Struthio camelus: one gene and its partners. The protein of the gene in region 1 purifies or fractionates together with the protein of each later gene. This does not show direct contact. Links are inferred from orthologs where the notes say so. Each region holds a gene or a part of one and is shown in the gene's direction. Other genes may lie near its edges.

Evidence for each region.
Region 2: the proteins of HSF1 (region 1) and HNRNPA2B1 purify together in Homo sapiens (affinity purification with mass spectrometry; 3 studies listed by BioGRID, with this or other methods). This does not show direct contact. The link is inferred for Struthio camelus from reciprocal best matches to the Homo sapiens genes HSF1 and HNRNPA2B1.
Region 3: the proteins of HSF1 (region 1) and FBXW7 purify together in Homo sapiens (affinity purification with western blotting; 4 studies listed by BioGRID, with this or other methods). This does not show direct contact. The link is inferred for Struthio camelus from reciprocal best matches to the Homo sapiens genes HSF1 and FBXW7.
Region 4: the proteins of HSF1 (region 1) and HSPBP1 purify together in Homo sapiens (affinity purification with mass spectrometry; 5 studies listed by BioGRID and IntAct, counting the BioPlex papers as one, with this or other methods). This does not show direct contact. The link is inferred for Struthio camelus from reciprocal best matches to the Homo sapiens genes HSF1 and HSPBP1.

What each region holds. Positions count from the first base shown.
Region 1 is NC_090943.1:172,755,571-172,763,530, reverse strand, and holds the start of HSF1 (heat shock factor protein 1), read left to right. Parts: upstream 1-4,928; 5' UTR 4,929-4,961; coding exon 4,962-5,087; exon of another isoform or gene 5,088-5,485; intron 5,486-7,960. Other genes in the region: ribosome biogenesis protein BOP1, read right to left, coding at 3,738-3,914, 4,353-4,481. UniProt on the Homo sapiens protein: Functions as a stress-inducible and DNA-binding transcription factor that plays a central role in the transcriptional activation of the heat shock response (HSR), leading to the expression of a large class of molecular chaperones, heat shock proteins (HSPs), that protect cells from cellular insult damage.
Region 2 is NC_090943.1:38,644,889-38,652,666, reverse strand, and holds the start of HNRNPA2B1 (heterogeneous nuclear ribonucleoproteins A2/B1), read left to right. Parts: upstream 1-4,760; 5' UTR 4,761-4,863; coding exon 4,864-4,893; intron 4,894-5,421; exon of another isoform or gene 5,422-6,425; coding exon of another isoform or gene 6,426-6,437; intron 6,438-7,778. Other genes in the region: CBX3 (chromobox protein homolog 3), read right to left, coding at 2,809-2,832. UniProt on the Homo sapiens protein: Heterogeneous nuclear ribonucleoprotein (hnRNP) that associates with nascent pre-mRNAs, packaging them into hnRNP particles.
Region 3 is NC_090945.1:38,375,919-38,382,933, reverse strand, and holds the start of FBXW7 (F-box/WD repeat-containing protein 7), read left to right. Parts: upstream 1-3,994; 5' UTR 3,995-4,003; coding exon 4,004-4,111; intron 4,112-7,015. UniProt on the Homo sapiens protein: Substrate recognition component of a SCF (SKP1-CUL1-F-box protein) E3 ubiquitin-protein ligase complex which mediates the ubiquitination and subsequent proteasomal degradation of target proteins.
Region 4 is NW_027182594.1:275,486-283,319, forward strand, and holds the start of HSPBP1 (hsp70-binding protein 1), read left to right. Parts: upstream 1-4,833; 5' UTR 4,834-4,954; intron 4,955-5,032; 5' UTR 5,033-5,036; coding exon 5,037-5,165; intron 5,166-5,890; coding exon 5,891-6,074; intron 6,075-6,755; coding exon 6,756-6,977; intron 6,978-7,061; coding exon 7,062-7,217; intron 7,218-7,834. Other genes in the region: histone-lysine N-methyltransferase KMT5C, read right to left, coding at 384-547, 625-734, 1,531-1,696, 2,421-2,530. UniProt on the Homo sapiens protein: Inhibits HSPA1A chaperone activity by changing the conformation of the ATP-binding domain of HSPA1A and interfering with ATP binding. Interferes with ubiquitination mediated by STUB1 and inhibits chaperone-assisted degradation of immature CFTR.

The sequences.
Region 1 (7,960 bases):
GAACAGTTTCTAGCGTTCTTTTGTATCAGTTCCAAAAAAAATGGACGCATTGTCAGTGTAACATTCACTGTCAATCACAGTAGGAAAAAGAGAACAGAACAGGAAGTTTCTCTGTTGGGCCAGAGAAACGAGGTCATTGCTCAGCTCACGACATGCAGGACAGCAGAGAGAGATGCATCACAACAAACCAGAAAGATCTGGGAGAATCCTTCCAAAACCGGATCAGAAATGCTGTAGCCCATTCATCCCAGCAGGCCAAGTGGATGCCCTGCAACAGGACAGCCCTCCCCACGCCACCAGCCAGTGACCTGCCCAGCTGCACCCGAGAGCACTTGAGGCCAGGCGTGATACATAGGCTGCAGGACTACGCTTCTAACAAGCTCAGGCCCGGAAACTGCTGGTACTGCTTGGCCTGGAGCAGGATGCAGCCCTGCCAGAGAAGCAGGCCAACCAAAACACGCTGGGCTAGGGAAGTGGGGGCCTATCCCCATCCCCTCCTGCCCAGCCCTGTTACAAGGCTGTTGAGGAGAGTGGACAGGGATGGACGGACAGCAACGGGCACACGGTCCTGCAGGAGCAAAAGGGAGAATGGGTGCAGCTCAGTGGTGGGATGTGTTCAGCCTGGGTGCAACATGGACAGGGGCTTCCAGGGCTGCACCTTGCACATGGGTGACCATACGCCCTCCTCCTTTCTCGGGCCCCACGTGAGACAGCCTTTCAGCCTGCCAGGAAAACCCTGGCACCAAGAGAGAATCCTGCACACAAACAGCCCCCAACCATCGAATGAGAAGGTCTCACAAAGTCCACCTGGGCCAGCAACACCAGATCTTCGTGCTGAGTTCAGCTCCGAATAGATCGTTCTGAACGCTGATCACTGACCAGGCGAGTGAGCCACCAAACTAATGCACTTACAACACTCAGCTGACACTACAGACAACTTCTTCTATACTGGAAGAGACCAGCATTTGAGAAATCTCATTCAAAATTAAACATATCTAACCAAGGTAAATAAACAGTTCTCCTGCACGAACAAGTGAAATATTTTCTAAACAGAAGCTAGCTCTCTTCGTTCCTGGCCTAAAGCCATAAGTCCATTAAACATGACAGTAAAATAGCACTCGGGCAAGAGCACTGCGCGTCTACCATCTCTGCTGGCAGCTCAGCGATTCTCCCCAGCAAGGGACGACAACTTAGTGCTCTGAAGAAAGACCCAGCTGAGTCAGAGTCGACCTAAGAGCGTTCCCTTCTTAGACTCTGCATGTCTACTCTACACTCTTCTTCTCAAAGTTTCCACCCATGAAACAGTGAGCGCAGTCCAAAGCTGAGAGCAAAAGCAGGCAGAACAGTGACCAAGGAAAGGCTCAAAATGCTTTTAAGGAAGCAGGCTCCTGGGGAAATTCCTACTTAGTAATTTAGCTCTGCTCTCCCTAACTATCCAAGCACTTTGAATGCAACATAAAAATCTTAATTGTGCATAGCTCCTGAAATTCTCAAGTCACTCTGGAAAGCTGTCTGAACTGCAGAAGTTTCCAACACTATAATGTAGCAGTCTTTAACCCATATATTTATGGCATTATGCAAAGGGCCTGTAAAGAAGGAACAGAAGAAAACCTCCCCTCAGGAGGCTGGGGTTCACTAGACAGGGTCCACAGCTCCTTTAGAAAGTGTTCAGGAGTGGCTGCGAACCAAAAAGGACAATGGCACAGATAGTAGATTAACTTCGTTGCAAGACCCCAGAGAAGAAAACGGTCTGAAAAGAGCAAACCTCTGTTTAACCCTGTATGGGAAAAGTGAAACCCTCATAAGGAGCGTTTTTTTTTTTTCAAACAGGCACAAAGGGTAAATACATTCCTGGCCAAGACTGATATGTCTGATGTTTTTTCCCCATGTGAAAACCCTTCAGATACCCCTCTGAAGAGGGGATCCAATTAAGGCCACTGCTCCGTCTCTAACACTCCCTGCTCAGAAGGGCTGCCGACCACGTTAGATAGCTCTCTTCACAAGCCGCCCAGCGACACGCACGGCTCCTGTGTGGCAGGAACGACACCATTCCAGGCCCACATGCTAAGATGCCATTGACTTTGTTATAGCGGAGATCCTAAAGGCAGAAGGCAAACCACCAGGCCATCCCTGCCCAAAGCAGAAGCAAGGCCAAAGCACATCTCGCCGATGGCCTTGTTCACAGTAAGGGGAATCTACGTTCAAACTTCCTCCGACCTCGTCAGACTCTGCTGCTACTGCTCTAACTCTTTTATAGGCTGTGCCAGCTATAGAAAGCACATGCTATTTCAGTGTAGAGCACTCATCACCGCGTTTAGCTTGACCTGGGTTGCAACAAGACAGTGACGGATCCCACTGCCTGCAGATATTTGCCTATGGGCCGGTAGTATTACAAAGAGTTGGATATGGAGTAACAGGTGGAAGAACTGAGAGCGGTGGAAGGGATGATGCCTAAGAACCAGCCTCAGCTCTCATACAATAAGACGGACACAGGCGGACATACAATGCATTGGCAAAAGTCCTGGCTTGGGGAATTGTCCTACACATTCCTGTCCCTGCGCAACACTCTGCTGTGCTTGTACAGTTGATTACATGGACACGTGGCAAAACAGATCAGAGAGCCAATGCCAAGGAAAACAACCACCGCTACCAACAAAAAAGCCTGTGCAGTTCAGGGGACCAATTGTTCTGAAAAGCAAAACAAAGCAACAACAACAAGCCCCATTTCCACTGTGCTATTTCTGGGCTGGATCAGCTGCCTGACCTAGCCCACTAAGTGGATTCATAAACAGCTGTTCAAGCATAACAAAGACAGCGGTGTCGGTGGGGACAAGCAGCTGTAGATGGAGACGACTCAAGCAGCACTGCTGCTGAATACCAAAACTGCAGCCTAAGGCACCATTATAAAATTCCTAAACAGGTTATTAGAGTAAGTTTCTACTCAGTTGCTACTCCAGACCTTGGTAAAGCTTCTACATGTTGCCCAAATCAATAAAAACACAGCTCGAGAAACACAGCCAGGAAAACAATAAGGCACTTTTTGTTCACAAGTTGGAGCATGACCCAGGGCAAAGGAGGCTGGAGTAGCCTAAGTAACATTAACGTTCATTAATATCGCAAGAGGAACTAGAGTGTTAATTCTTCCACCGCTCTTTCTGCCTGTGCTTTCTGAAATAGAAGTAAGGCTGTGTCTTTACAGGATTTTTTTTTTAAATGGCATCGACAGCAGAAGTATCACTGCTAGCACAGATTCTAGAAGCGCAGAGAGGCGTAAAATCCCTTTTCCAACTAACAAACAAGCAGCACCACAGCTCTCCAGGCTGCTTCTCATCACCAAATGCAAGCCTAGGGTCAGGAAACGTAAGCCTCACCTAAGCCTGTACACATAAGGTTTCTTCTTCACTGACGCTGTGTCCAAGAGGGGACACCAGGCATGCGAATGAACGTTGCCCCCCCCCCCAGCCCACCCCAAACTTTTAGGGCTGCTCTACTCAGCGCGCAGCTCAGCCAGGCTGCCGGCGCCAACCTAGCTGCACTGGTGTCACCGCACAGAAAAACGGCCCGTGACCTTCCCGAGCGCGCTCCTGAGAGGAAGGCTCCCCTTGGCAGGAGCTTCGTCGCCGCCTCAGGCGGGCGGCCCGCGCTCTGCTCTTCCTGCCCGGCTCACCGAGCAGGGGCGCGGGGGGCCCCCCGCGCAGAGGCCTCCGCAAAGGGGCACCGGGCGGTGCGGGCCTTACGTGTGCCTGCGAGGGCGAACCGTCCTTCGGCTCTTCCTCCTCCTCCTCCTCCTCCTCCTCGGTGCTGCTGTCGCTGCCCGAGTCCTCCAGGCCGGAGTAGACGCTCTCCTCGCTGTCCGTCAGGTCGTCGCTTTCCGTGCCCGGCTCCTCCGGCACCGCCGCACCGGCAAGAGGCCGCTGCAAGGCAAGAGCCGAGGTCGCATCACACCGGGGCCGCGAGGGTGGGGGGGGGGGACCCGGGGGCGACACCGGCGGCGCCCGCGGGGCCCCTGACAGGGCCCGGGCGGCCCCCGACAGCCGCCGCCTCCCCCCTGCCCCGGCGCGGCCGCCCCGTAACCATGGTGACGCCTCCCCGCCGCCGCCCCGTAACCATGGTGACTCCCGCCCCGCCGCCGCCCCGTAACCATGGAGACGCCCCCCCACCTCCCTCCCCCGCGGCGCGCGCGCCCCCCGACCTGCTCCATGGCTCCTTCCCGCCGCCCCGCGTGCGCCGCCGCCGGCCACGTGCGCGCGGGTCAGAGGTCACGGCGCACCGCCCCCCCCACCCCTCCCCTCCATCCCGGACCGGTTATTTTCTCATTCTTCTTCCGCTTCCGCCTCGCCGCCGGCACGCACCGCGCCGGCCCCGGCGGGAGGAGGGGCGAAGACAGCCGTTCGGACGGAAAAATAAAAAATAAAATTAAAAAAAAAAAAGAATCGGGGAGGGAGGTCAAAGGTGAGAGGGGAACTCGGCCTGAGGCGCATGCGCCCTAGCCCACCCGCCCCTCCCCGCCCCGCCGGGGGCACCGCGCATGCGCGCGGAGGGGCGGACCCGAGGCGCCGGCCCGGCGGCGCATGCGCGGTGCCCCGCCCCGCGCCGGGCGGTGGCGGCGGCGCGGAGGGGGCGTGGCCCCCCGTCCACGGGCGGCGGCGGCGGCGGCGGCCGCGGAGGGGGAGGGGGCGGGGCGGTCCCGCGCATGCGCGCGGCCGTCCCGCGCGGGGGGCTTGTCTCGGAGGCGTCCCAAGATGGCGGCGGCCATGCTGGGCCCCGGGGGTTGCAGTGCGCAGGCAGCGGCCGGGCCCCGCCGCGGCGGTCGCCGGCGGCACTAAACCCCGCGCCGCCCGCCCGCCCGTCTCGGCCTTCCCTTCCTCCCTCCCTTCCCCCCCCCGCGCCCGCCCTCCGGCGGCTCCCCGGGGGGGGGGGACGCGCCGCGGCCTGCCCCGGGGCCTGCAGCCGCGGCCGCCATGGAGGGGCCCGGCGCGGCGGCGGTGGGCGCCGGCCCCGGCGGCAGCAACGTGCCCGCTTTCCTCACCAAGCTGTGGACCCTGGTGGAGGATCCCGACACCGACTCGCTCATCTGCTGGAGCCCGGTGAGTCCCGCTTGAGGGGACGACGCGGCCGAGCCCCGGCCTGTGGCCCGGGCTCCGCTGTGACTTCGCCAGCGCCAGACCTGAGCCTCGGTGTGTCACAACGTCGCAGCGGGTTCCTGCGCCTCTCCGGGAGAAGCGCTTGCCGAATTAGAGGCCTTCCCCCCACCCCCAGTGCTTGTGCAGCCTGTGAACCTCGTTGCCTGAGTAACACCCCACGGGGAAACGAGCTCTCCCCTGTACTTAAGGGAAAAGCGGTGTCCAGGTGCTCGCCTAACTGTTCCTGCGGCAGGGAACGCTGTGTGTGGCTTTTAGAAGCGTCATTATAGCTTGCAGCGGTAGAGCCTGCGTGCAGGCGAGCCTTTCTAGCCTTTGCCCAGCGCTGGGCACGTGCTTCTGGTGCGTTTCTAAAAAAAACGCCCCAGGTTTGTACTTAACACCAGTCACGCAAGCTTCGTTTTCCATCTCTTCTAGCCACTCGTGAAAGTTTAACTTTTGTCTGAAAGATAGCGGTATCCAGAGCGTATCCTGTGAGCAGTCTTTTGGAGGGTGATACGTTCACAGTGCTCACCTGCAGTCAAAATGGAAAGCTTCCTTGCTGTTTGGTTCTTAAGTTGACAGACCAAACAGTTAAGTGGGAATCAAACTCTTATGAATGCTCAATTACTCCGTCTCCCACAGTCTGTTAACAGACTCCCATATCACCTTGTCCTGACTCCAGATCAGATACTTGCTACCAGAACCGATGAGGGGAGAGAAATACGCTGACATTGGTAAGAGTGAAAAGGGCTGTCATACACAGGTTTCACCTCAGATGGAAGTGAGGAGCGAAGACAATGGGAACTGTTGTTAAAGATAACAAAAATGAAAGATAAGGGCCAAAATAAAAGCTAATATATCCTGGGAATGTTTTTTCTTGATCATAGCGTGATCATAGCTGCTCTCTACCGACTTCCGTCTGCTTATCTGACTCAATGTGGTAGTAACGAGATGAAAGACCTGCACTGTGTGTTTTCCACAGATATTGCATTGCTCTTTAACTATGCAAGTCATTGCCTGTAAACAAATGCCTTGTCTTGTCACTGGAACAAACAGAGACTTAATGCCTTGCGTTTAATGAGTTTATGATCATTACCGTGTTGCTGGAATAGTAACCATGAGAAATTGCATTTGCGGGAGGGGCGGTGAACAACATTACCCTGTTCCCTTGCGTTTGGGAACTGCAGTGGGAAATTCAAGTTGCCTTAATCTTAGCTGTGGGTGGAGGAGGTTGCTTGGAGATACTATGCAAACTTTGGGCTTCTGTTTACAAGCAAACAGATTCGCCTAGGCTTCTTGGGTAGTGCTACAGTGAACTGGGACTGGAAATCAGCAGGCTTTTGTAAATAGGAATGATGTGCTTTGCTTGTGCTGCCAGGTACGCAAAGATGCTTACATCTTTAAGTTTCTCCTCCTTCTGGGGGGAGAGGGAAAGAAGGGATGAATGGTACCTGTGATGCGATTTTAAAACTCAAGAGTTTATTGAAACGCGTGGTGTTTGTCAGTGTTGAGGCTGCACAGAGGACTTCCTGACTGCTTGCTTCCATCCCTGTGGCATGATTTGCTCCTCCCTCTTCTTTGGGGTTATTTCTAATCTGGGCCATTTCAATTTGTGCCATGAGTACGCAAAGTTGTATTAGCCCATCGAGGGGGTAAGTAAACTGTTCCTAGGAGGCGGGAATGAAAAGGCGAGGAAGAAACAATCATAAACTGTTTTTTTCATCTTGTGAAACAAGCATCCTGGGTAAGGATTATTTCATGGTAACTGTCCAGGTACGTGTTCTTGTCCTGTGTTAAATGTGCAATATTCTAATTTGTACAATGTGTAATAAACTCCTCCATGCTTACTGTAGGGTAAGTGCGCATGAAAAGCAGTACAGTAACTCACTCATGGTGTTGGAGCCCTAAAGTTCAGCCTGGAGACACACTCCAAGGCAACTTTGCTAGACTTGTAAATAGATTTTTAGATTTTTTTTTTTATACTCTTGATAACTGGATGACTCTTATAGGTCTTGACAAGGGAAGGTCTGGATACAACTCTCAAATTTATCGTAAAGGTCTTAGCTCCTGAAGGTCTTCACTTCAGAAGTTTGTTTTTGCTTTTATGGAATGACTGTGCCTGGCATCTGACCTCCTTGTTATTCATGATGTTGGAAGTACATATTTTATGAGTTGATGATGAAATCTGTGCGAAACATCCACTGTGTGAAAACCTGGAGAAAGAGAGGGCTCCTCCCCTAAGTAGTTCTCTTTTCTTTTTTCTTTCCTTTTTTTAATGCAAAGAGTGTGGATACAAAACCAAAGTGGCTGATTATTCGTAAACTATCTCAATGGTGCAGGATGTTGGCTGGAGGAGAAAAGAGCTTTGGAAAATCTACGCAGCGGTAGTCCGAGAACTGAGCCTTTTAGTATCAGTGAAAAGCAAATTTTGCTTTGGTGGGAGAGGGACAGAGTAGGAGACAAATCTTTGCTTCATGCGCAAGTTGCTTGCTTTGTTGTTCATCCCGTTCTTTCTTTTCTCTCTCTCCCTTTATCTTGTACCTGTTCTCTTTTTATCATCTGCATTTATTTCCTTTCTTTCAATTTCCTGTGCTAATGGGTGGGAGGGAAAAGCTGCAGGGGTTCAGGCGCATGGATCTTGAAGTGCTTGCAATGAGGAGAGATCTTTTATGTGTTTGTGAGAAGAAATCATCTCAGTAGAAAGGAAAATCAACATAACGGGAGGGTTAAAGAAGCAGAATATACTTCTTAGATGTCTAACTCTTAATTTTACTGCTTTGAAGGTAAATTCCTCAAATATAAATTTGTATGATTCCGTGACACAGTTTTTTTAGTAA
Region 2 (7,778 bases), about 130 Mb from region 1:
AAACGTACTGTCCTGCAGCACCCTAAATTGAAGCAGAAAGAACACCTTCCTTACTAAAGCATTTCCTACAGAACAAAAATAGACCAGCAAAAATCACAGAACACCTCAGTTTGCTTTATGGTGTTTTTGTAGCCCTATCTAGAATTAATGTGCGTTAGTTTGCAAATGCAGCGAAGCCATTTTAAAACTGTCAGATTTGTAGACTTTGCAGAATTTTGTCTTGGTGTAGTGAAGGCTGAAAAAATAACGTCTGTCAAAGACAAAGTCAACAGTCGTTTTTTTCTAAAATGGAGATATGAAGTTGATTCTTTCCTAAGCCCACTCTTTGTGCCCTTTCATTTTCTTAATCAATTTTTCCTCTCCTTCCCAAACAGAGCTTTACACGGCTTAGCAACTCATTAAGTGGAAGGTGCAAACAATGAAGAAAGATAAGGAAAAATGTCACGTTTCCCTTTCAAACAGCAAGCGTCTGTATAGGATTATATCTTGTGTGGCACTTGTTTTGATTTGGGACTATGAAAGACTGATTATTTAAAGCAGAGTATGTATTTCCAATTAGATTTTAACTGCCTGCATATTCCAGGTATTCCAGTATTCAAGTCTGGAGAGCGTCAACTTAATCACACTGGCTTTTTTTGCCTCCAAAGGAAAAAGAACATAATACTGAAATTAAAGGAAAATAAAAATATGAAGATGTCCAACTAGTCTAGGAAAGCAACTTCTTTCAAGAGAAGGAAGCATGAAAGACGAGGAACGGGTAGAGATAAGGAAAACAAAAAAGACGAGAAGAAGAATGACACAGACTCACTATACCATAGTAATAACATTATAATTACTGGTGATGAGGCAAGCTGGCCACAAGTGCAAAGCTTCCTATGAATGTTCTCCTTTGGACTAAAATTCTTGCTTTCATTCAGTGTAAGATGAATTGCTTTCAGAAACTCTTTTCAGCTTCATTCATTCTTGTCGCTTAAGATAAATGCTTAGGACTTCTAGATCAAAACAACAGTTTTTTTTCTTTCTAAGGCTATATAGCTATATAATCTTGCATAGAAGAAAATGATTTTTTGGGAGGGCGGTAAAAAATAACATACTCAAGAGTATGTTGCTTTAAAAAAAAAACACATTAAAGACTTAATTAGGTCTCTTGTGCATCAGCACCGCTTTCTAAGTTGTCTTCTTAAGCCTTTCTAAACTGTTGAAGTAATATTTGATTCCAGAGCCTGCAGAATTACTGAATATTTCTTAAAAACCTGTATATTCTGAGATTATACAAGTCCATGTAAATCTCAAAATACTAACTTAAGTGAGGTATAACATCCGTTTAAGGGTAGGAACTTCACTAGACCCTTAAAATTCCCTTCTTTAGAATTCCATGTTTTAAGGCATAACTTAGACATTTGAACATTGAAAGGTCATCCATGGCTCATCTCTCTCTCTGTGTATTCAGAAGTCACATGTGACAGATACAGATGTTCTTCAGGGGGTAATCACTCTTTCTTTCTGAGGGGTAAGATTATAACACTGATGTGACATTGTAGTAAAGGGTTTTAACACACAAGAGGCAAGAAAATCAGAATTACAGTTCCAGAGCTACACTATCCCTTAATATGTTTAGGTTTTGCATGCAAATACATAACGAAGCAGAATTAGTTATGGTTCCCATGGGAACCATAACTGATTCTCCTGACCTGTGCAGCAAAATTCGCAACATCAAAAGATTAAAAATACTGCGTTCACAGGTTCCTTTCCCTCCCTGCGCCCCCCCCCCCCCCCCCGGATAATTCCCTCTATCCTCAAATTAGGGAGAAGTGGGCAATCAGTTACTAAAAAAAAGTTCAGACATTCATCTTGGTGAAAGCTGTAAAATATTTTGTTATATTTTGTTTACAGTAAACTGTAAAGCAAGTACTCCATAGCACTTATAAGCCAGGAGTTCATACAAGTATTTAATATATCTTGATCTGGGTAAATTAGTAATAATTTTAGTATATTTAAGAATAGGCCTTCCGAGTACATTATAAAACAATTCTGCTCTCCAACTTTAAACTGTATAGATGTATTTTTGCTTACTTCCCTGCCTAAATCTCAGATGCATCTCACACCATATTTCTCCAGGTCTATCCCCTACAAATACATGTGTTATCATTAGTTGAATAGTAATTAAAACAACTTCTCCAGCAACCAACTGCCCTTAAAAGTCCATAATTTAATGTCAAGCAAAGCTTTACAGGGACTTGAGATCCATGAATGCATCATTAAAATGGTCCAGGAGGGGTTGCCATCTGATAACCTCTGCTCCTATGAAATTCAAAGAAACTGTTATTTGTTAAAAAAAATCGTTTCAAAAGGCATCTTAACTATGCCACATCATTTTCCCAATAATGTTATTTTTCATCAGTAAGGAGATTGCCTTTTCTCAAGCAATCTGTCTTACCTGAACAGACTGGGCACAGTTAAATGAATACACGAGTCTGACTTTACTTCTTTTTACATACATGATGAACTACACAGCGTGCTGAAAGGAGGCTAAAAAAATCCTTAGTGTTTTCTACTGTAGTGCACATAAAATGGCGCACAGTCCTTTAATTTTTTTTCCCAACAAGTCTCAGTAGAAATGGCAGATTTATTAAAGCCAAAGATAATGTCCTTTCTAGTAGCCTTACTTTCTGGATCTGAAATTTTGGTCAGAATAATGCTGGGGAGGGGAGATGTGGATGTATCTTTTTAAAATGGAGATGCCAAGTTATAAGTTTGAAGAAAAATGTTGATTAAATCCTTATATACTTTAGGTGTGCATGAACTTACCAATGTAGTTTTATTGGAGGCCATTTTTATTGCAGACTTGCAGAGCTTTTACTAGAAAAATGCATGACAATTAAAAGGAAGTTTACATTACTCAAAGAAAGGCATCCCAATACAAGCATGGTCCTTGTTCCAACCCCCATGTATTCACTGCACATAACACTCCTAATACGGATTAAATCCAGAACAAAAAGTAGGTTACTACTTTGTCCAGCGTAACCCAGTAACACACCGTTATGCTAGCCAGGATACACGATACCGACAAAGTCGTATATAGAGTTGAAAAAAGGTTTTCCCAAGGCCTTCTAAGGCTCAGAGATGTTTCTAGGGAAAAGGGGGAGGACCATCAGGGATGCATATTTCCTTAAACCCAAGAGAAGAAGAGTAGAGATTCTAGCAGTTAATCAAGATATACCTAGATGTATTAACTGCGAATCTGGTGGGGAGCAGCTACATATCTGCAGTGTAATAAGGAGTCACCCATTACTCTTACATAGTAGTAAATGCTTATCAACAGCCAAACGTTATCTTAATGCAACTATAACGTTGCCTTCTGATTTTCAAGTTTGCAAGAGTTAAGGTTCCTATAGCAATACTAACTCAGCAGCTAAGCTGTACATACTATGTATGTAACCTAAGCAAATGATGTTGAACGCGATCCATCCCCTTTTCCACGTCGTTTCTCATACTGGCCACCTCTGTAGGCATGTATTATCCCCGCCTGACTGCAAACTATAGAGCTGTTACAATTTTGCATTTGCCCGGGCAAGGCAAGAGAAGTCCTTCTCCAAGGCCAGAAAGCCTCCTCGGCTCTGCGATCCCGCCCAACTCGCCTCTTATGTGAGAGGGGGGTTTTGGCAGCCCCAAAGGCGGTGGGGTGGGTGAGGTGGGAGGGCAGGGATCAGGGCCCCGGCGCGGTGGGCCATGCCATGTCTCCGTCTGAAAGGCAAGGGAGAGGGGAGAAGCAGCAATTCCCCCCGCCCCCCACCCGAAAATAAAACGGAATAACCCCCGGGAGGCCTGGGGGCGGTGGGGGGGGCAGCGCAGCGGCTCAGGCCTGCGGCGGGCGCAGGCGAGGCGGCCGGGGCCGAGCTAACGGGACTAAGGCGGGCCGGCCCGGGGGAGGGGGGCGAGGGCCGCGGGAGCCGCCCGCCCGCCCGCAGCGCCCTCGCCGCGGGGCCGGGGCCCCCTCGCCGCCCGCCTCCCCCGCCCCCAGCGCCGCCACGTTTCCCCCGGGCCCCGCACGCCGCCGCCCGGAGCCTGGCGCCTGAAGGCGGCGCGGCCGGCCCAGGCCGCCCCCTCGGCGCTGGCGGGCGCGCTTTGTCTGGCGAGCGCGGGGGCCGCCGCCGCCCCCTCATCCCCCCCGCCCCGCCAGCCGAGGGGCCTCCGTGGAAATGCCAGGGCCCCACGAAGCCCCGCTCCTTCCGTTACCCCCCGCCGCCAAGGAAGCGGCAGCGCTCGGCTGAGGGCGGCGGGGGGGGGGGGGAAGGGGGGCGAGGCGGGCTGCCCCCCGCCTTTCCCGCCGTGGCCTTGAGGCGAGGGCCGCGGTGCAGGAGCGCTCCGCGGGGCGCCCGCTCCCCCGTGGCGGGAAGGGGGGGGAGGAGGAGGAGGAGGCGGCGGGGGGGGGGAAGGTTATCGAAGCGAGAGAAAGAGGGAGAGAGAGAAGGATACAGACTTCAATGGTGCTCAAGCCGCTCGGGTTTCCCGTCTCCTCCTCGCTCTCGCCCTGCGCGCACTGAGCAGCGGCGGCAACAGCGACATCTGAGGGGGGTTGAGGCGGGCGAGGGGGGGGTGGGGGAGGGGAAGGGGGAGGGCGGGGCGGCAGCGGCTGGGCGGCAGCGCGGCGCGGCGCGGCGCAGGGCGGGAGGCGGCGGCTGCTGGCGGGGCTGGGCTGGGCGAGCTCTGCGTGCCGGCGACTGACGGGGCAGAGCGCACGACGCCGCCTACGCGCGAGCTGCAACCTCCTCCCGTCGTCGCCGCCAGTACAGGAGGGGGGCCAAGACGTCTCTCCAACGGGGGGCGAGTGCAGGACCGCGTCAAGCGTCCAAAAGAAGGAAGATGCCTCGCGGCGACAGAGAAAGCGACTGGGTGAGCGGGAAGTGGCGGGAGGGGGAAACGGGCCCGGCGGGCCGGTAGCCGCCGCCGCCGCCATGATGATCATCGCCATGAGGGCGTGCTGGGTCGGGGCGGCCGCCGCCCGCCGCAGGGCGAGCGAGGCCTTCAGTCCGTGCGGGGGGGCGCCTGGGGCGATCCCCAGGTGCGGGGAAGGCGGGCAGGGAGCGTTTGAGCGGCTTTGAAGTTCGTTTTGCCGTTGCTGAGGCGGGCCCGGGCCGTTTGGAGCGCGGCCATTTCCCGCGTTGCGGCGAGGCGGCCTAGTCTTGAGCGAGCGCCAGGGAGGGGGGAGGGGAGGGAGGAAAGCGGGAGTTGGAAAGCGGTTGGGGGCCTAGAAAGCCCTTTATTAAGTGGGGGAAACGGGTCCGAGTCAGTTTAGGGTGCTTCGCTCCGGGAGAGGGGTCGCTTCCCGGGGAGCTGGGAGGAGGGGGAGGAGAAGAGGGGGCGGGAAGAAAGGAGCAGCCCTAGCGCCATTTCCCTGGTGCGCGGGGCGGCGGCACTCACCCTTTGTCGCGGTGTGTGCGGGGCCGGTGAAGAGAGAAAAAGGGAGGGAAAGAAAGGAGGAAGGAGAAATAAATGTCTAAGTGAGTGGCTTGCCCGATGGGTTTTCTGTCCGTGTTGCGGGGTAGAGCGGAGCAGGCTGCGGCGAAGTCCGCCTCCCTTCGCTGGCTCTCGGCCCCCGGCGATGTCTCGGTGCTGGCGCCAAAATCTGGGCAGCTATCACTTCCTCCTACCCGGGCGGAGGGGGAAGGGGCCAACCCGCCGACAAAAAGGGGAGATGTCGGGGGCGCGCGTAGGCACCGCGCTGTGCTCCCGCCCGGGCCCTGCCAGTACCACAGGTGGCCGGGGGGGGGGAGTAAAGGTGGGGGGGGGGAACGAGCCCTTTGGCTAATTATAACCCCCTTGCTTTGAGGTTGAGTCTTCGGGGCGGTTCGGCAATTTCCGGAAAAAAAAAAAAAAACCACCCACGACGCGGTGCCAAGTCTGGTCGGGGCCGTTTCGGCTCCGCTCGGGCACGTATTAGAAAGCTCTTCCGTTGTCGGAAACTGCCGAAGGCGCTGTATCGTCGATGGCTGCTGCGTCTTTCTCTCCGGAAATTGCCGAGTGGGATCGGATCGCCATTCTTGTCCGTTTCGGCAAATTCCGGAAATAGCCGAAGCGAATCGAATGGGCTTCCTTTCCTATTTCGGCTTTTTCCGGCGACTGTCGAAGTGGATAAGCTCGACGACGACAGCTCCTTCGGCTCATTCCGGAGACAGCCATTACTAACGGAGTTGATGACTTTTTATTACGTGATTAAAACACATAGGGGCGTTATACAGAACTGTTGCCCCTTTGGAGATATTTAAGCTCCAGATTCGAGCTTTTTGACTAAAACATCGGCAGCGAGTCTGGGCTGGAGAAGGAGGGCGCTAGCACTACGTGGAGCTGAATTTCAAATTACGTAACAGTTAAGGCAGCCATTACTGAGCAGTTGTGCGGTATTCTCAAGCAGGGATACGTAAACCATGAAGAATATGGTATGTGAAAAGGGAAAAATACAGATTCGGCTGTTAGGGAGGGTGGCGTGTCTGGTTGTGGAGATGGAGTGCTTTTTCAGGATCGGGGGGTTAGGAGCAGAGTCGTCCTCGGGCAGCGTAGGTCTGGGTGCTGCTGCCGACCCCCGTTAGCGGCGGCGCGGCTAGCGGCTAGGTGCCTCTCCGCAGAGGAAGCGTTAGCAGGGAGGAAGGTTCTGGAAGCGGCGGTTGGGGCTGGTGCGCACTCGAGAGGGGAGGCGGAAGCTGCGGTAGCTGTGCGTGCGGGTACGAATTCTTAAATCTCCCGACATGTCCTTTAGCTGAGCTGCCGTTAGGGTGGTGCTGCGGGGAAGGGAGAGGGGGACACACACCACTATGGAGGTCAGTTAATGCGCGATCCGGGACTCTACTTTGCCCTGCGGGACGCTGAGCGGCCGGGGTGGCGCTGCTGATAATGGCGGTAACGAGGGGGAGGGGTAAAATGGCGGCGCCGAGACTCGCTCGTGCGTGAGGCTTTCAGGATGAGACCTAGGAGGGGAAAGGGGGTAGGGAGGGAGAGCAGTAGAGGCTGAGAGCCAGGCTGCCGTTGTTATCTTTATGGGAACAGAAAGCAATCGCTTGCAAGCTCTCCCTGGTAAGGCGTGTGTAGCCGGACGCTAGAAGCGGTTTGCAGCGACTGATTTGTGTTTTTCCTGAAGGCCCGAGTGTAACTTAGCTTCTTTATTCTGGCGTCGGTTCTTTGTGAATTTCTTTCCTTCCCGCCGCATCGCTTTCCCTGGAGGCAACGGTTGCTTCTGGGCGCCATTTTCCTCATCTAACTGCGGGGGCCCTTGTTTTCCTGATAGCCGCCACATGGCGGAGCCGGCATGGCAGCCGCTTCACTCCTGATAATACCGGGCTGCGGGGGAAGGGGGAGGACGTAGACTGATGGATCGGAAAGCCATGTAAGAGGTGTTAGGGGCTAACGGGGCGCGACTGCATAGCGAGTGGTTGGAAGTGTCTTTCTGGTTTGGGGCCAGTAAATCTGGGGAAGTGTAATCGCTTGGCAGTTTCCATTTTGGCGGGCAGTGCCAGCTCAGAGATTCCACTTACCTGTTTTGTTAACCGTTTTTGTTACTCGGATTCTTAACTCTGCAGAAGTCTGCAGTCAGCTTGGAGTATTTGTACCCATGCTGTTATGACACGAAACGCACTTACTTGGTCTGGTGATGGATTTTCCAGTGTAGGCTTCATGTTTTCCAGTCCTTTGAAGTGTTGCTTTTAGCCTGTGAAGGAAGGCTTAAAATAAGCCCTAAGGAAGATTTACAGATTTCCAAAAGATTTTCTCTCACAGTTTGTTACTGC
Region 3 (7,015 bases), on another chromosome or scaffold:
CTTCAACTTGAATCGTTTATTTAAAGTTTTTTATTACCCATAGTAAACCTTCAGTTAGAAACTGTCTTGTATCTATTTGCCTATCATACTGGTATATGAAAGGGCTCTTGATATATGTATGTCAAGCAGTTTTTAGGATTCTGATGAAATACATAGCTTAAAAATAGTTCATGACAGTATAAATTCTTAAGTTGTATTATTTTTAATTAAGTTTGAAGGATTTCCTTCATATTGCTGTCATCTTCACTTGAAAAATAATTAAAAAAAATGCCTAAATTCTTATCCTGTGCTAATTTCTGTCTTGCACAAACAGATGTGTAGTCTGACTGTATTAAAATTTAGTTATGTATTGAAAGCTTAGCTGTTTTTTTTAGCAATAATTTAAGAATCAACTTTGAGAAGACTGATTCAGTGCAAGGAAGTATGCTTACATATCAATTAGCTATTTTTTGATAATTCTGAAAAGTAAAATGTTAGATGGCTGTGTTATGTTGGATTTACTTTCTGAGACAGTGGAACTTAGATAGTTGTGCAGGCAAAAGGAGGGAGCTGGCCAGGCCATCAAACAAGCCAGAGCTCTCTGCTGTTTCATACCCTCTTTCAAAGAGTTTAAGACTCATTCATCTGTTGCAGAAAATTTCTCTCTCCAAACCCTTTACACATATAGCCTCTCTGGTGTTCTCTTGCTATTTCTTAAAGATGTAAGGAAGTTGTATATATTTGTTTGTTCAGGAGCTTTATTTCACAGTTAATATATTGTTTCTATATATATTATTGTGAACAATATAGTGAAGTATATATTCTGCACATTTTTTTTTTTTCATTACTACTTATGCTTTTCATAGTCTACAGTCTTTTCCGCATTCTGTGTTCAGGCTCTTTAACTAAGAGTGTGTCTGGCTGTTTGCCCATTTAGATTTTGCATACAAGAGAGTACAGCCTTAGCTCAGCATGAAATCATCTCTCCGTTATGTTTTTTTTTTTTTTTTTTTTTAAAAACAGCTGTGGCTTGTAATGGAGACTATGACAAGGAAGCTTTATTAGTATGATAAATGTTCCTTTGAAACCATAAGCAATCCTGCTTTTTTTTTTTTTAAAGTTCAGATTTGACCAAGTTTGTGGAAGTAGTGAGAGTTAATATACTAGTAAAAGTAACTGGTGTTCTGAAATATAACAGTTCCAAGGATGATGTCTGCATGACTCTGTCCTGTCAATGAATACTATAAAGGATAACATCACATATGTAATATTTCACTTAGAAATAGGGAAGTAATGAAAAAAACTAATAGCAACCAATTTTAACTTCAGAGGAAAGACGGAGTACCGATGTATTGAGAATTTTTCTGGAATCAGATGCTAGAAAAGTAGAAGAAACAAAATATTGTGGTAACAGCAATGTGAAATTTAAGCAAATCTGTTCTCATTTTTTAAAATAGCATTATAGGACATTTATAGGTGAAAAACAAAGCTTGTTCTTCTCTGTTGAACTACATCACTATCAGAGGGACTTAAATTCCACTGTCCGTAGATAGAAACGCAAATTCTGCAGTATTATTGCTTAGATGTTCAGCAAAAATATTAGATGTTCCTAAAAATATTTATTTTGCAGATAGCCTATACAGCTGTGGCTTGTCTGTCACAAGCCCTATCTGCATGCATCCTAGAATCAATAGTACATTAAGGAAGCTGACATGAGGAGGGGAAAAATCATAAATAATGAATAGCAGGCTTTACTGCTATTATTATATTCTTAGGCGGCATTTCATTTCTGCTAAGAATAATACAAATTCTAGTGAGATACAACTGTACTTTGTAACCTGATTAGACTTAAATCCATTATCCAAAATACAGCTGTTTTTGTTTAGTCTGTCCCTTGTTAAGAAATATAATAGCGTGATCCTTAACTGTATGCTGCCAAAAGAAAAAGGTAGGGTTTTCATTTATTAGAAATACTGTGTGTACAGTATGAATATTTTTATTGGAACTTATCTGCAGTCTACTGAGAGACCAGGTTTTGAAGTGGGGGGATGTGAGGGTTGTTTTTAACCACTGTTTTCTTAGCTTTCTAAACAATAGAAGCTTGTGAACAGAGGTTTTTGTGGTATGCAGGATATGTGAAGTTTTGAGCATAAGAGCATGATCCTTGCACTTTAAATCTGTGTATTAATTTTTTTTCATTAGCTCTCTCTGCTTCCACATCCTGCACATTGCTGGCAAGCATGCATCAGCAATAAGACTTTCTTCACTAATGTGTCTGACATATCTCTGTAATGTGCAATAGCTGATTTTTTTAGAAGTTGGCTCCTTTCTAGCCATCTGAGTAATTTCACCTGATATTACTTTAAATTTCCTATATAATGTGCTCTTTCGATGAATAGCTGTGTAGAATGAGCACAGGAAGAGCAAAGTCCTTGGCAATACCAGCTCAATTGCATCTGCAGATGAGGATTTAAAATTCTGTGCAGCAGACAGTACCTCCAGCAGGCGAGTAAAAGGTTACTGCATTATTTTCCTTGTTTGCATCTCTAGTCTTTATCTACCAAAGGCTTTCTTTTATTGTTCAATTTGTTGTGCATGCTCGTATATAGATGTAACTGGAAACTGATTTAATGGAAACACGGATATCGAAAGGGCAGAGCAAGGTGAAGGGAGAGGCTCAGTTGAGCTTTAAACCAAAGAAAGGGAGGGGGAAGAGAGAAACAGTAAAGGGGAGGGGAGAGGGAGCAGGAGAGAAATTAAGCTTTCAGTGCATTGCAAAAACAAGAAGTTTTTTGTCAATGTATTCATTTAAGCTGCTTTCATGTCACTTGCATTTTTCTTAACCTTTTGATAAAGAGGATGCTATTGAACCAGGCAAGTCATGATAGCTCTATAAATGTAAGTGACAATTATTTCAAGTCAGATTATCCTGTAATCAGGTTAAGCATTTGTGTTAATGTGAGACCTTCTGCTTTTAGAAGCAGTATGGCATACTGTCTTAAACCAATTAAAATGAGCTTTTTACAATATTACTTGCATCTTTTTTTAAATATGGGAAGGAAAAATTACATGGTTATTGTACCAGTATCTCCTGAAAATGAGATATTTCTCATAGTGAGTTAATTGCATGCGTTAGGTTAGAAAGGTATTCACTATTGCAACCAGAGTATACTGCTTTTAGAAGGCCTTTTTATGTCTGACTGCTCGTTTGAATGAGTTCTGCTGCTTCCAGATCCTTTTTTCTCTGAGTGAAGGACTCCTCCAAGACTTTATCAAAGCTGCTTATGCTAGCCGCCCCTGTAACTTCTCTCGGGAGTTGGCTCTGTTACCTTTTGACATTCTACTTCAAATTCTTTCCTTCTTGTTTCTTCCTCCGTTTACATTTTTGCTGTTGTTTCCTGATGTCCTCCTGGCTCACACAGCTTCCTAGCAGCCATTCTTATTTCAGGATCTAGCTAGACCCCAGCATGCTTTTTTTCAGGGCTTTCCCATTTTTGAAGTTAGAAGAAAAAAAATTTTTTTTATTTATCTTTTTTTTAAGGTGGTGCAAAAAGACACTTGCGGAGCCCAGCCGCCTCACAGGGCTCGACGTTCTCGCCTGTCGTTTGGACTGGTGGAGCCCTAAGAGCTGGCAGCCCCGGAGGGGAGCGCAGCCCACGGGGCGGCAGTGGGAGGTGGCCCCGGGGCCGGCCCGAGGGGCAGCGGGCGGGCAGCGGGGAGGCGCTCCGCAAAGAGGAGTCCCGGGCACAACGTGCACGTTTTTTAAAGCCCGCGTTTACTTGCTGATGATGGGCTGGGCCGACGCTCCCTGGACAAGTGCCTTTTTTTTTTTTTTTTTTTTTTTCCCCTTCTTCCCTCCTCCTTCAGTTCAACAGTCTTAATTTCAGCCAGGGAGCTGCAGAATGAAGCGGTTGAGCAGTTTTGAGCGTTTACGGGACGCCGACTGTCCCGATTTCTTTAAGAATAAACTCGTCTGATGAGCAAGTCAATGTGTGGCTGTGGCTGCAGCATTATTTCTTCTTTAATGAAGAGGCTGGGCTGTTCGACCTGCTGCTCCGATCTGCTATCTTGCAGCCATACATCAGAGCAGTTGCAGAGACTGTCCATTGAATGTCTCAGTCAGCCAAAGAAGGTAACTATATTCAAAAATTAAAATATACCATTAACAGGATGCTTTATAATTTGAACTTATGTGATAAAAAGACAGATTTCAGGTGTTCTTAGCAGTTTTCTTGACCTTGCAGTAGCTATCCAATATCATTTTGCCATCATCAGGTTGTGTAGCAATAGAAATGTGCTGCAGTAATTGATTTTGTAATAGGATCAGGTGATTTACTGGCTGCACTGACAACCACTTGCTTGCTTGTTCTGAAACGTGGAGCACTCTAATGGATGTTTTGATTGCAGCCTCGACTTGCTCTGAAACTGCTAGATGTTCAAAGATGTAGCATCTCATTTGTCAGAATAAAAACTTCTCTAGCTGTATTCTCCAAGTTATATTGGAAATTCATTTTTTTTAGGCTGACTTTTCAGATTCGAGATTCTTTGTACAATCCTTACTAGAGTAGAACAGGAAATAGTCTTCACCAACTTCATGTGTGTCAACTTAGCCCCTTTTCTTATAGCCATTTAAAGCACATTAACACATGTGCTTTAAGCGTTTCCTGAGAACTTGAGCCATGGCAAACATAGTCCAACTGTATGCTTAGAGGAGAGTATGCAATAATTCTTTTTTGATTGGTCTTAAGTGTTTTATTTTCTGCTAATATATTATGATTTGGAAGCAAAAAGCTGACTCTCTTTAGAAAACAAACCAAAATAAAAAAAATCATGTCAGAGTATCACTTTTATTGTAGAAAAGTCATTAGGAGGTGTGATCTGGTGAGTGAAAGTGAGGAGCTTAATTGGTTCAACCTTTTGGACCAAGCTGTCTTAGGCTGATAAAACTGAAACATGTTTTGTTAAGCTCTAAATTTTTAGATATGCAGTGCCGCATTCATCTACCAGGTCATTTGGGGAACAGTATTAGCACCAAGCATGCTACAATGATTGGCAATAGTTTCCACTTAATTTGCTTTCAAAATACATTCATAATTTTTTATCCCCTATTGTGCAAGGATAAACATCCCTTGCTCATGGTTATATGGCATAATGTATAAGAATGAAAGCTTGAAAAGTAAAATTAACTTGTGTTATTTAAAATTGTCCGTAGTTGTTGTCATTTTGTGTCTATTTTGCGCTGAAATGATGGAAGAATTGCATCAGGAAATAGGAATTTCCTGCATGGACTTTGAAATAAGAAACAGTCAAAAGGCAACTTTTCTATGCTGAAGTTTAGAGGATGGCAGCCACCTTGGCCTGGGAACATCAGTATGCTGTGTACGATAGGTAATTAAACAACTATCAAACTGGTAACAGTTTTTCAAGTGACTGTATAACACAGAGATTTAAATGGCCCAAAATAAATCAAGGTGGTTTGGTTTGAATTTGTTGAATCTAATCAAGATTGAAGTCAGTGAGCAAGAAACATTAGATTTAAACTAGTAGATTTTAATTTTGTTTTCCATTTATACCTCAAAGAAGGTTGTTAAATGGAAGTTGATTCTCACTCATGTAATTTGGTACATCTTTTTCCTAATGAGGAGAATATTCTACTACTCCCATGTTTGTTCATGCAGTATATAGCTTAACATTTAGAGTATTATTTTTTCAGCTGTTATACTGTGAAATGAGCATGAGTACTCTTGCAGAAGTAGGTGTCTCTTGCCAATTTATACAAATGAAAAGAAACCAAAATTCCCATTTCCTCAACACACAATATGTTTCTTCAGTTTGAATGAACTGGTCATTCAGTTGGAGTAGCAGAACGAGCTCAAACGTATTTTTTGAACTTGAAGAGCAGTAGTGTTCAAGGTTGTGTGTGTGTGTGGAGGTGGGAGCACTTCTCTGAGCTCAGGTTGCAGGACTTAGTCAATGATTGAGTTCAGTGATTTGACTTTTAAAAAAAAAAAAAAAAAAAAAAAAAGGTTGGAGTCCAGCACCCTATTTCAATTATTTGCTTTAAGTTGCCTTAATAGGCAAAAGGAAATGCAGCTATTGGCTTAGGAGAGAGACTAATTAAAAATGGCTTCCATTTAAAGGTGTTAACTTGATAAGAAAAATAAGACTAAATAGTTTATTTTTACTTTTAAATTTGTTTTATTCTTCTGTTATGTATCTCTTTCAAGGTTAGTTTATACTAATTATGTTTTTGGGGACCATAATGTTGTATTTTTGCACGAGGTTTTGTGAGAAAGCTGGTGTGATCCACTGTATTTTGTATGTCTAAACACAGTGATAATGAGATAAGGAGTCATGTCCTAAAGTTCAAGAAGAAAATTTTGGTAAATCACTAGGAAAAATAGGTTGGAAAGAGTTGCATTTTTCCGATAAAATAGAAAATGGAACATTATCATTTTCTAAAAAGAGCCATGTGCAAAACTGCACTGCAGAATTTAACAACTCCATGAAACTAGCTAGGGCAGGAAAGAAAAAAGGCCTTTCTATTGACAGTGGATATAGTACTGAAACAGTAGTAAATATTAGTAATATGTTCTCTCGGATTATTGTTGTACTAATAATAGAGCAGAATGAGGAAAGAAACTAATTAATAGGAATATCCTAAATGTTGTAACTAGGCTTAGCATTCTGAACGTTCACTGGAGATTTATTCAGACTGCCTCCTCTAAGTGTTCTTAACACCTCAGTAATGGGGTCTGAAGGTGCCCCTGCCCCAAAGCAGGTACCTCTGCCCCCGACTGAACCCCAGTATAGACTCTTACATAGGACCTCTGAATTGTGCGTAAGGTAAATGGAGCAGTTGTTTACTATAGTGTCTGTATAGTCTGTATGCTACAGATTCTGGGACTTCCCTGGTAGTCTAATTAAAAAATAAACAACACTTCACCATATTTAAAACTAGTGTTTTGTTCTTACTATTCAGCCAGAAGATATTTGCAGTGATAGCCCCTACAACAGCTCTGAAAAATGAAGAAAA
Region 4 (7,834 bases), on another chromosome or scaffold:
TCCCGGGGGCAGCTGGGGGGTGGCCGGGGGTCCCAGGGGGGCCCTGGGGGGCTGTTGGGGGTCCCAGGGGACAGCTGGGAGGTGGCCGGGGGTCCGGGGGTCCCAGGGGTGGCCCTGGGGGGTGGCCGGGGGTCCGGGGGTCCCGGGGGGGCCCTGGGGGGTGGCCGGGGGTCCCGGGGGGGGCTGTTGGGGGTCCCGGGGACAGCTGGGAGGTGGCCGGGGGTCCGGGGGGGGCCCTGGGGGGTGGCCGGGGGTCCCGGGGGGGCTGTTGGGGGTCCCGGGGACAGCTGGGAGGTGGCCGGGGGTCCCGGGGGGGCCCTGGGAGGTGGCCGGGGGTCCGGGGGGGGCCCTGGGGGGTGGCCGGGGGTCCGGGGGGGGCCCACCGTGGTTGATGAAGGCGGCGGGCCCCAGCCAGAGCTGGGCGCAGCGCTTGCGGGTCGAGTACATGATGCTGAAGTCGTTCTCGCCCGAGCGCAGCAGCCCCTCGTCCGGCTCCGTCAGCTCCGCCACGCAGCCCACCAGCAGCTCCAGCTTGTCGTTCTTCCGCCTGCGGGCCGGCCCCGGCGCCGTCAGCGGGCCCCGGCGTCCCCGCGGGCCCCGGCCCCCCGCCCGGCGCCCCCCTACCACGACTTGGTGGAGACGACGCGGGCGCCGTTGGTCTCCAGCGAGTAGCGGCTGCAGGGCAGGATGGCGAAGCCGCTCTCCGGCAGGAAGATCCGGAGGTAGCGGAAAATCTGGGGGGGGGGGGGGGACACGCCGGGCCGTGAGCCGGGCAGGGGCCCCGGCGTCCGGGCCCCCTCCCCCGAGGAGGGGCCCAGGCGTCCCCCTCCCCCGAGGGGGCCCAGGCGTCCGGGCCCCCTCCCCCGAGGAGGGGCCCAGGCGTCCTGCCCCCCACCCGAGGGGCCCAGGCGTCCGGGCCCCCTCCCCCAACGAGGGGCCCAGGCGTCCCCATCCCCCGAGGGGGCCCAGGCGTCCTGCCCCCCACCCGAGGGGGCCCAGGCGTCCCCCGAGGGGGCCCAGGCGTCCTGCCCCCCACCAGAGGGGCCCAGGCGTCCTGCCCCCCACCAGAGGGGGCCCAGGCGTCCTGCCCCCCACCCGAGGGGGCCCAGGCGTCCCCCATGCCCCCCCCGAGGGGCCCAGGCATCCTGCCCCTCCCCCGAGGGGGCCCAGGCGTACCCCCTCCCCCCCCCCACAGAGGGACCCAGGCGTCCCCCATGCCCCCCCCGCAGGGCCCAGGCGTCCCCCATGCCGCGAGGGGCCCAGGCGTCCCCCCTCCCCCGAGGGGCCCAGGCGTCCTGCCCCCCACCCGAGGGGCCCAGGCGTCCCCCATGCCCCCCCCACAGAGGGGCCCAGGCGTCCCCCATGCCCCCCCCACAGAGGGGCCCAGGCGTCCCCCCTCCCCCGAGGGGCCCAGGCATCCCCCATCCCCCCCCCACAGAGGGGCCCAGGCGTCCCCCATGCCCCCCCCCCGCGGGGCCCAGGCGTCCCCCATGCCCCCCCCCCCCCGCGGGGCCCAGGCGTCCGGCTCACGTGGCTCTTGAGCGCCGCCTGCTGCAGCGGCCGCCGCCGCTGGAAGTAGCCGCCGGCCCAGGCGCCGCCCGTCAGGGCGCGAAACGCCGCCTCCAGGTCCCGCCGCCGCCGGAAGCCCTCGACCGCCGCGCGCAGGTGCTGCTGCCGCCGCAGGGCCGGCAGGGGGCTGCACCGGGCCTCAGCGCCCGCACCCCCGGGACCGGGACCCCCCCCCGGGACCCACCGACCGGCACTAGGACCCCCCGGATCCCCTCGGGACTCCCCCCCCCCCAAGACGGGCACTAGGATCCCCCGGGACACCGGGACCGGCGCTAGGACCCCTGAGACCCCCCTGCCTCCCTCGGCCCGGCACCAGGACCCCCCGGGGCACCAGGACCCCCCGGGGCCGACTCTAGGACCCCTGAGACCCCCTCGGGACCGGCGTTAGGACCCCTGAGACCCCCCGGGACCCTCCGGGACCGGCACTAGGACCCCTGAGACCCCCCTGCCTCCCTCGGCCCGGCACTAGGACCCCCCGGGACACTAGGACCCCCCGGGACACCAGGACCGCCGAGGCCGACTCTAGGACCCCTGAGACCCCCCGGGACCGGCGCTAGGACCCCTGAGACCCCCCGGGACCGGCACTAGGACCCCTGAGACCACCCTGCCTCCCCCGGCCCGGCACTAGGACCCCCCCGGGACACCAGGACCGCCGGGGCCGGCATTAGGACCCCTGAGACCCCCCGTGACCGGCGCTAGGACCCCTGAGACCCTCCCCGCGGCCCGGCGTTAGGACCCCCTCCCCCGCCCCGGGACCGCCGCGGCCCGGCGCTAGGACCCCCGTGCCTCCCCGCGGCCCGGCGCTAGGACCCCCGTGCCTCCCCGCGGCCCGGCGCTAGGACCCCGCGGACCTGACGCCCATCTTGTGCGTGCGGAAGCCCAGGACGGAGTCGAGCACGAGGCTCGTGGCCAGGTCGTCGTTCTCGCAGAGCTCCCGCGCCGTCACCCGCGGGGCGCCCATGGTCCGGCCCGGGGCATGCTGCTCCGCCGCCGCCCTGCGCCGCCGCGCCGCCGTGGGCACCCGCACCGCCCCCGGGGGACCGGGCGGGCGGAGGCACCCCCTCCCGCTACCGTAATGCGCCCAGCGCACCGGCCCCGGGACCCCCTCCCGCTACCGTAATGCGCCGAACGCACCGGCCCCGGGACACCCGCTACCGTAATGCGCCCAGCGCATCCGCCCCGGGACACCCGCTACCGTAATGCACCCGACGCACCGGCCCCGGGACCCCCTCCCGCTACCGTAATGCGCCCAGCGCACCGGCCCCGGGACCCCCTCCCGCTACCGTAATGCGCCCGACGCACCGGCCCCGGGACACCCGCTACCGTAATGCACCCGACGCACCGGCCCCGGGACCCCCTCCCGCTACCGTAATCCACCCGCCTCGGGACACCCGCTACCGTAATGCGCCCAACGCACCGGCTCTGGGGCCCCCGTTACCGTAATGCACTCGATGCACCGGCTCCAGGATTCCCCTACCGTAATGCACCCGATGCACACGCCCCGGGACACCCACTACCGTAATGCACCTGACGCACCGGCTCTCAGACAACCGCTACCGTAATGCACTCAATGCACCCACCCCGGGATCCCCCTACCGTAATGCACCCGACGAACCCGCCTCGCGACCCCCCTATCGTAATGCGCCCGATGCAGCCGCACCAGGATCCCTTCCCGTTACCGTAATGCACCCGACGCACCGGCTCCGGGATCCCCCTACCGTAATGCACCCGACGCGCCGGCCCCGGGACACCCGCTACCGTAATGCACCCGACGCACCGGCCCCGGGACACCCGCTACCGTAATGCACCGAACGCACTGGCTCCGGGTCCCTTCTCCCGCTACCATAACGCACCCGATGCACCGGCTCCGGGACCCCCTACCACTACCGTAATGCGCCCAACGCACGGGCCCCAGTGCGGTCGCACACACCCGCGACCCCCCATCCTCGTTACCGTAATGGGGCCGGCAGTGCTCCCCCGCAATGACCCCGCTACCGTAATGGAGCCGACAATGTCCCCCCACCCCCATTGCCCTGTTACTATAAGGGGGGGGTAGAATCGTGCTCTGTTACCGTAATGCTCTCAGTGACCGGCCCCCCGAATCGGCCTTGGGGGCGGGGGGGCTGGAGAGGAAAGAAAGAGAGAAAGAGAGATCTGGCTTCGCCTTAATCCTCCGACTAGCAGCGCCCGCCTGGGTGGGGAAGGGCCGCTGCTTTTACCGTAGCGCTCTGAATAGAGCCCCACCTTCCACCGTAACGCCTCATATAGCAGCCCCCCGTGGGGGGGGGGCGGGAGAGCAACCCTATGCTTACCGTAACGCACCTAATAGCGGAACCCCAGCACTCCGCCTCAGGTGACGGGAGGACAAGGCTTTACCACAATGCTCGTAGTAGCGCCCCCGTCTCGGAGGCGGCTGCTCTGACCCCGGCGATACCGTAACGCTCCGAAGAGCGGCGCCCGCCTCCCTCCACACGGCGGCCGGCGCCAGGCCCCGCGTGGCTCGCCGGTGAGGGACCGTCCAAGGCCGCCCCGCCGCCGGGCACGACGGGGCGGGCCCTTCCCCCCCCCCCCGCGGGGGCCCCGGGACCGGCGGGGAGCGGCCCCGACCTCACCTGCTCCCACCGGCGCCGCCGCCGCCGCCGCCTTTCTCCCTCTCCCGCTGCCCCCCGGAGCCTTCACAGCTCGTGCCCGCCCCCCCGCGCTCCCCATTGGCCCCCGGCACCCGCTCGGCTTCTCCCATTGGCCGCGGGCGCTGTCAGTCGCGCCCTGCCCCGCCCCAGCCCCCCTCACGCGCCCCGCTCGCCTGGCGGCGCCCGCCGCCTCCCATTGGCCTCCGTCCGCGCAGTCCCGCCCCCCGGAGGCCGGGAGCGCCGCTCTCATTGGGCCCGTCGGAGAGCCGCAGCTATTGGCTGAGCCGCCTGCCTGTCGCAGGTAGCCCCGCCCGCTCACTCTCCCTTCCCGCCCTCTTCGGTCGGCGCTCCTCCGCGTCCTATTGGTGCCCGCCGAGCCAATCGGCACGAACCCCGCCCTCCCTCTCTCTCCATTGGCTGGATTCCCCCATCAATCGCATTGCCCCGCCCTGTTCCCCACCAGGTCCCGCCCCGACCGAGCCCACCCCGCCCTCCCCAGCTCCTATTGGCCTCGCGCCTCGTCAATCACCCGCCTTGCCCCTCCCCCGCACCGTGGGGCGCCCGCCCCCGGCGCCGCTCCGCTCGCTCCCATTGGCTGAGAGAGCTGTCGCTCAGCGGCACAAAGCGGGGACGCGGGGAGGGGGCCGTGGGGGGGCAGCGCCAGCCTCACGCAGCCGTCCAGGCCCCGCCCCCGCGCTCGGCCCCGCCCCCCGCGCAAGATGGCGGCGCCCAGGGAGCGCGCGAGGCTGTAGGAGGTGCGGGGGGGGGGGAGTTCAGGGGGGGGCGGCGCCGTGCCCGGTCCCCCCGGTTCCCTGACGGCGGTGTCGCCGTAGGATCATGGCGGAGCAGGAAGCCGGGGGGCCGCCGCCCCCCCGCGAGCCCCCCCGCAGCCTGCAGGGGCTGCTGGAGATGGCGGTGACGGCGAGCGAGCCCCAGGCCGAGCCGCGCGAGCCGCTCAGCGACGAGGTGCGCCCGGACGCCTGGGCCCGCGGGGCGGGGGGGAGCCCGGATGCCTGGGCCCTTGACTGGGGGGGAGCCCGGACGCCTGGGCCCTTGACTGGGGGGGAGCCCGGACGCCTGGGCCCTTGACTGGGGGGGAGCCCGGACGCCTGGGCCCGCAGTGGGGAGGGGGATCCCGGACGCCTGGGCCCTTGACTGGGGGGGAGCCCGGACGCCTGGGCCCTTGACTGGGGGGGAGCCCGGACGCCTGGGCCCGCAGTGGGGAGGGGGATCGCGGACGCCTGGGCCCTTGACTGGGGGGGATCGCGGACGCCTGGGCCCTTGACTGGGGGGGATCGCGGACGCCTGGGCCCTTGACTGGGGGGGATCGCGGACGCCTGAGCCCTTGACTGGGGGGGAGCCCGGACGCCTGGGCCTTTGACTGGGGGGGAGCCCGGACACCTGGGCCCGCAGTGGGGAGGGGGAGCCCGGACGCCTGGGCCCTTGACTGGGGGGGAGCCCGGACGCCTGGGCCCTTGACTGGGGGGGAGCCCGGACGCCTGGGCCCTTGACTGGGGGGGAGCCCGGACGCCTGGGCCCTTGACTGGGGGGGATCCCGGACGCCTGGGCCCTTGACTGGGGGGGAGCCCGGACACCTGGGCCCGCAGTGGGGAGGGGGAGCCGGGGCCCCGGGGTGGCGGGGGGCGCCGCGGGCCGGACGCCGGGGCCCCGCTGACGCGCGGTGCCGGCAGCGGCGCGAGTGGCTGGGGGCGGCGGTGGCGGCGGCGCTGGGCGGCGTCGGGGGGGAGTCGGAGCAGCTGCGGCGCTGCCTGCGGCTGCTGCGGGAGCCCCAGGCCGAGGCCGAGGCCGAGTCCAGCCCCGAGCACGTGCTGGAGCTGCTGGCCGAGCTCTGCGAGAGCCTCGACAACGCCACAGGTAGGGGGGCGCTGGGGGGGTCCAAAGGGGGTTTGGGGGGGGCCCAGGGGGTGATTGGGGATGGTTGGGGGGGGTCTGAGGATGCCCAGAGGGGTCCCGGGGGGAGTTGGAGGGGTCCCAGGGGGTGGCTGGGGGTGTTGGGGGGGTCTGGGGATGCTCAGGGGGGTCCTAGGGGGCTTGGGGGGGGTTGGGGTGCTTGATGGGGTCTGGGGGTCCTTGGGGGGGGCTTTGGGGTACCCGAGGGGGGTCTTAGAGGCCTTTATGGGGTCCCAGGGGGTGGCTGATAGAGTATGGGGGGCCCAGAGGGTGGCTGGGGGTGTTGGGGGGGTCTGGGGAGGCCCAGAGGGGTCCTAGGGGGTGGCTGGGGGTGTTGGGGGGGGTCTGGGGATGCCCGGGGGGGGTCCCAGGGGGTGGGGGGGGTCTGGGGATGCCCGGGGGGGGTCCCAGGGGGTGGGGGGGGTGTCGGGGGGGTCTGGGGATGCCCGGGGGGGTCCGAGGGGGTGGCGGGGGGTGTTGGGGGGGGTCTTAGGGTGCTTGAGGGGGGGAGCTGAGGGTACTTGATGGGATCTGGGGGTGCTTGCGGGGGGTTTGGGGTGCCGAGGAGGCTCCCCCCGGGTGGTGGGGGTCCCGGGGTGGGGGGACAGGACGACGCTGACCCCCCCCCCCCCCGGTTGGCGGCAGAGCTGTGCGCGCTGGGGGGCCTGGAGACGGCGGCCGGGCTGCTGGAGGACGCGCGGGCGCCGGTGCGGACGGCGGCCGCCCGGCTGGTGGGCGCCTGCGGGCAGAACCTGCCGGGGGCGGCGGGCCGGGCCCTGGCCCTGGGCTGCCTGCCGGCCCTGCTGCGGCGCCTGCGGGCCGAGCCCGAGCCCGGCGCCCGCCGCGCCGCCCTCTTCGCCCTCTCCTGTGAGTCCTGGGTGGGATTGGGGGGGGGGAACGCACGCGCGCGCCCACCCCCCCCCGGCCCCGCTGAGCGCCCGGCCGCCGCAGGCCTGCTGCGGGCGCGGGCCGAGGGGCTGGAGCAGTTCGAGCGCCTGGGGGGGCTCCCGGCCCTGCTGGAGGCCGCCTGCGGCCCCCCGCCCCCCCTGCGCGCCAAGGCCGCCTTCCTGCTGCACAGCCTGCTGCGCCAGCACCCCCGCCTCAAGGGTGAGCGCCCCCCCCCCCCGGCACCCCCCAGCCCTGCCCTGGGACCCCCCAGGACCCCCCCAGCCCTGCCCTGGCACCCCCGGGACCCCCCCAGCCCTGCCCTGGCACCCCCGGGACCCTCAGGACCCCCCCAGCCCTGCCCTGGCACCCCTGGGACCCTCAGGACCCCCCCAGCCCTGCCCTGGGACCCCCCCCAGCCGTGCCCTGGCATCTCTGGGACCCCCCGGGACCCCCCGGGTCCCCCCCAGCCCTGCCCCGGCACCCCCAGGACCTTCCAGGACCGCCCCAGCTCTGCCCCAGGGCCCCCAGGACCCCCCCCAGCCCTGCCCCGGCACCCCTGGAACCCCCCAGGACCCCCCCAGCCCTGCCCCGGGACCCCCCCAGCCCTGCCCTGGCACCCCTGGGACCCTCAGGACCCCCCCAGCCCTGCCCTGGGACCCCCCCCAGCCCTCCCCTGGTATCTCTGGGACCCCCCGGGACCTCCCCAGCCCTGCCCCGGGACCCCCGGGACCCCCCCAGCCCTGCCTTGGCACCCTTGGGACCCCCCAGCCATGCCCTGGGAGCCCTGGGCCCCCCCCAGCCGTGCCCTGGCACCTCTGGGACCCCCTGGGACCCCT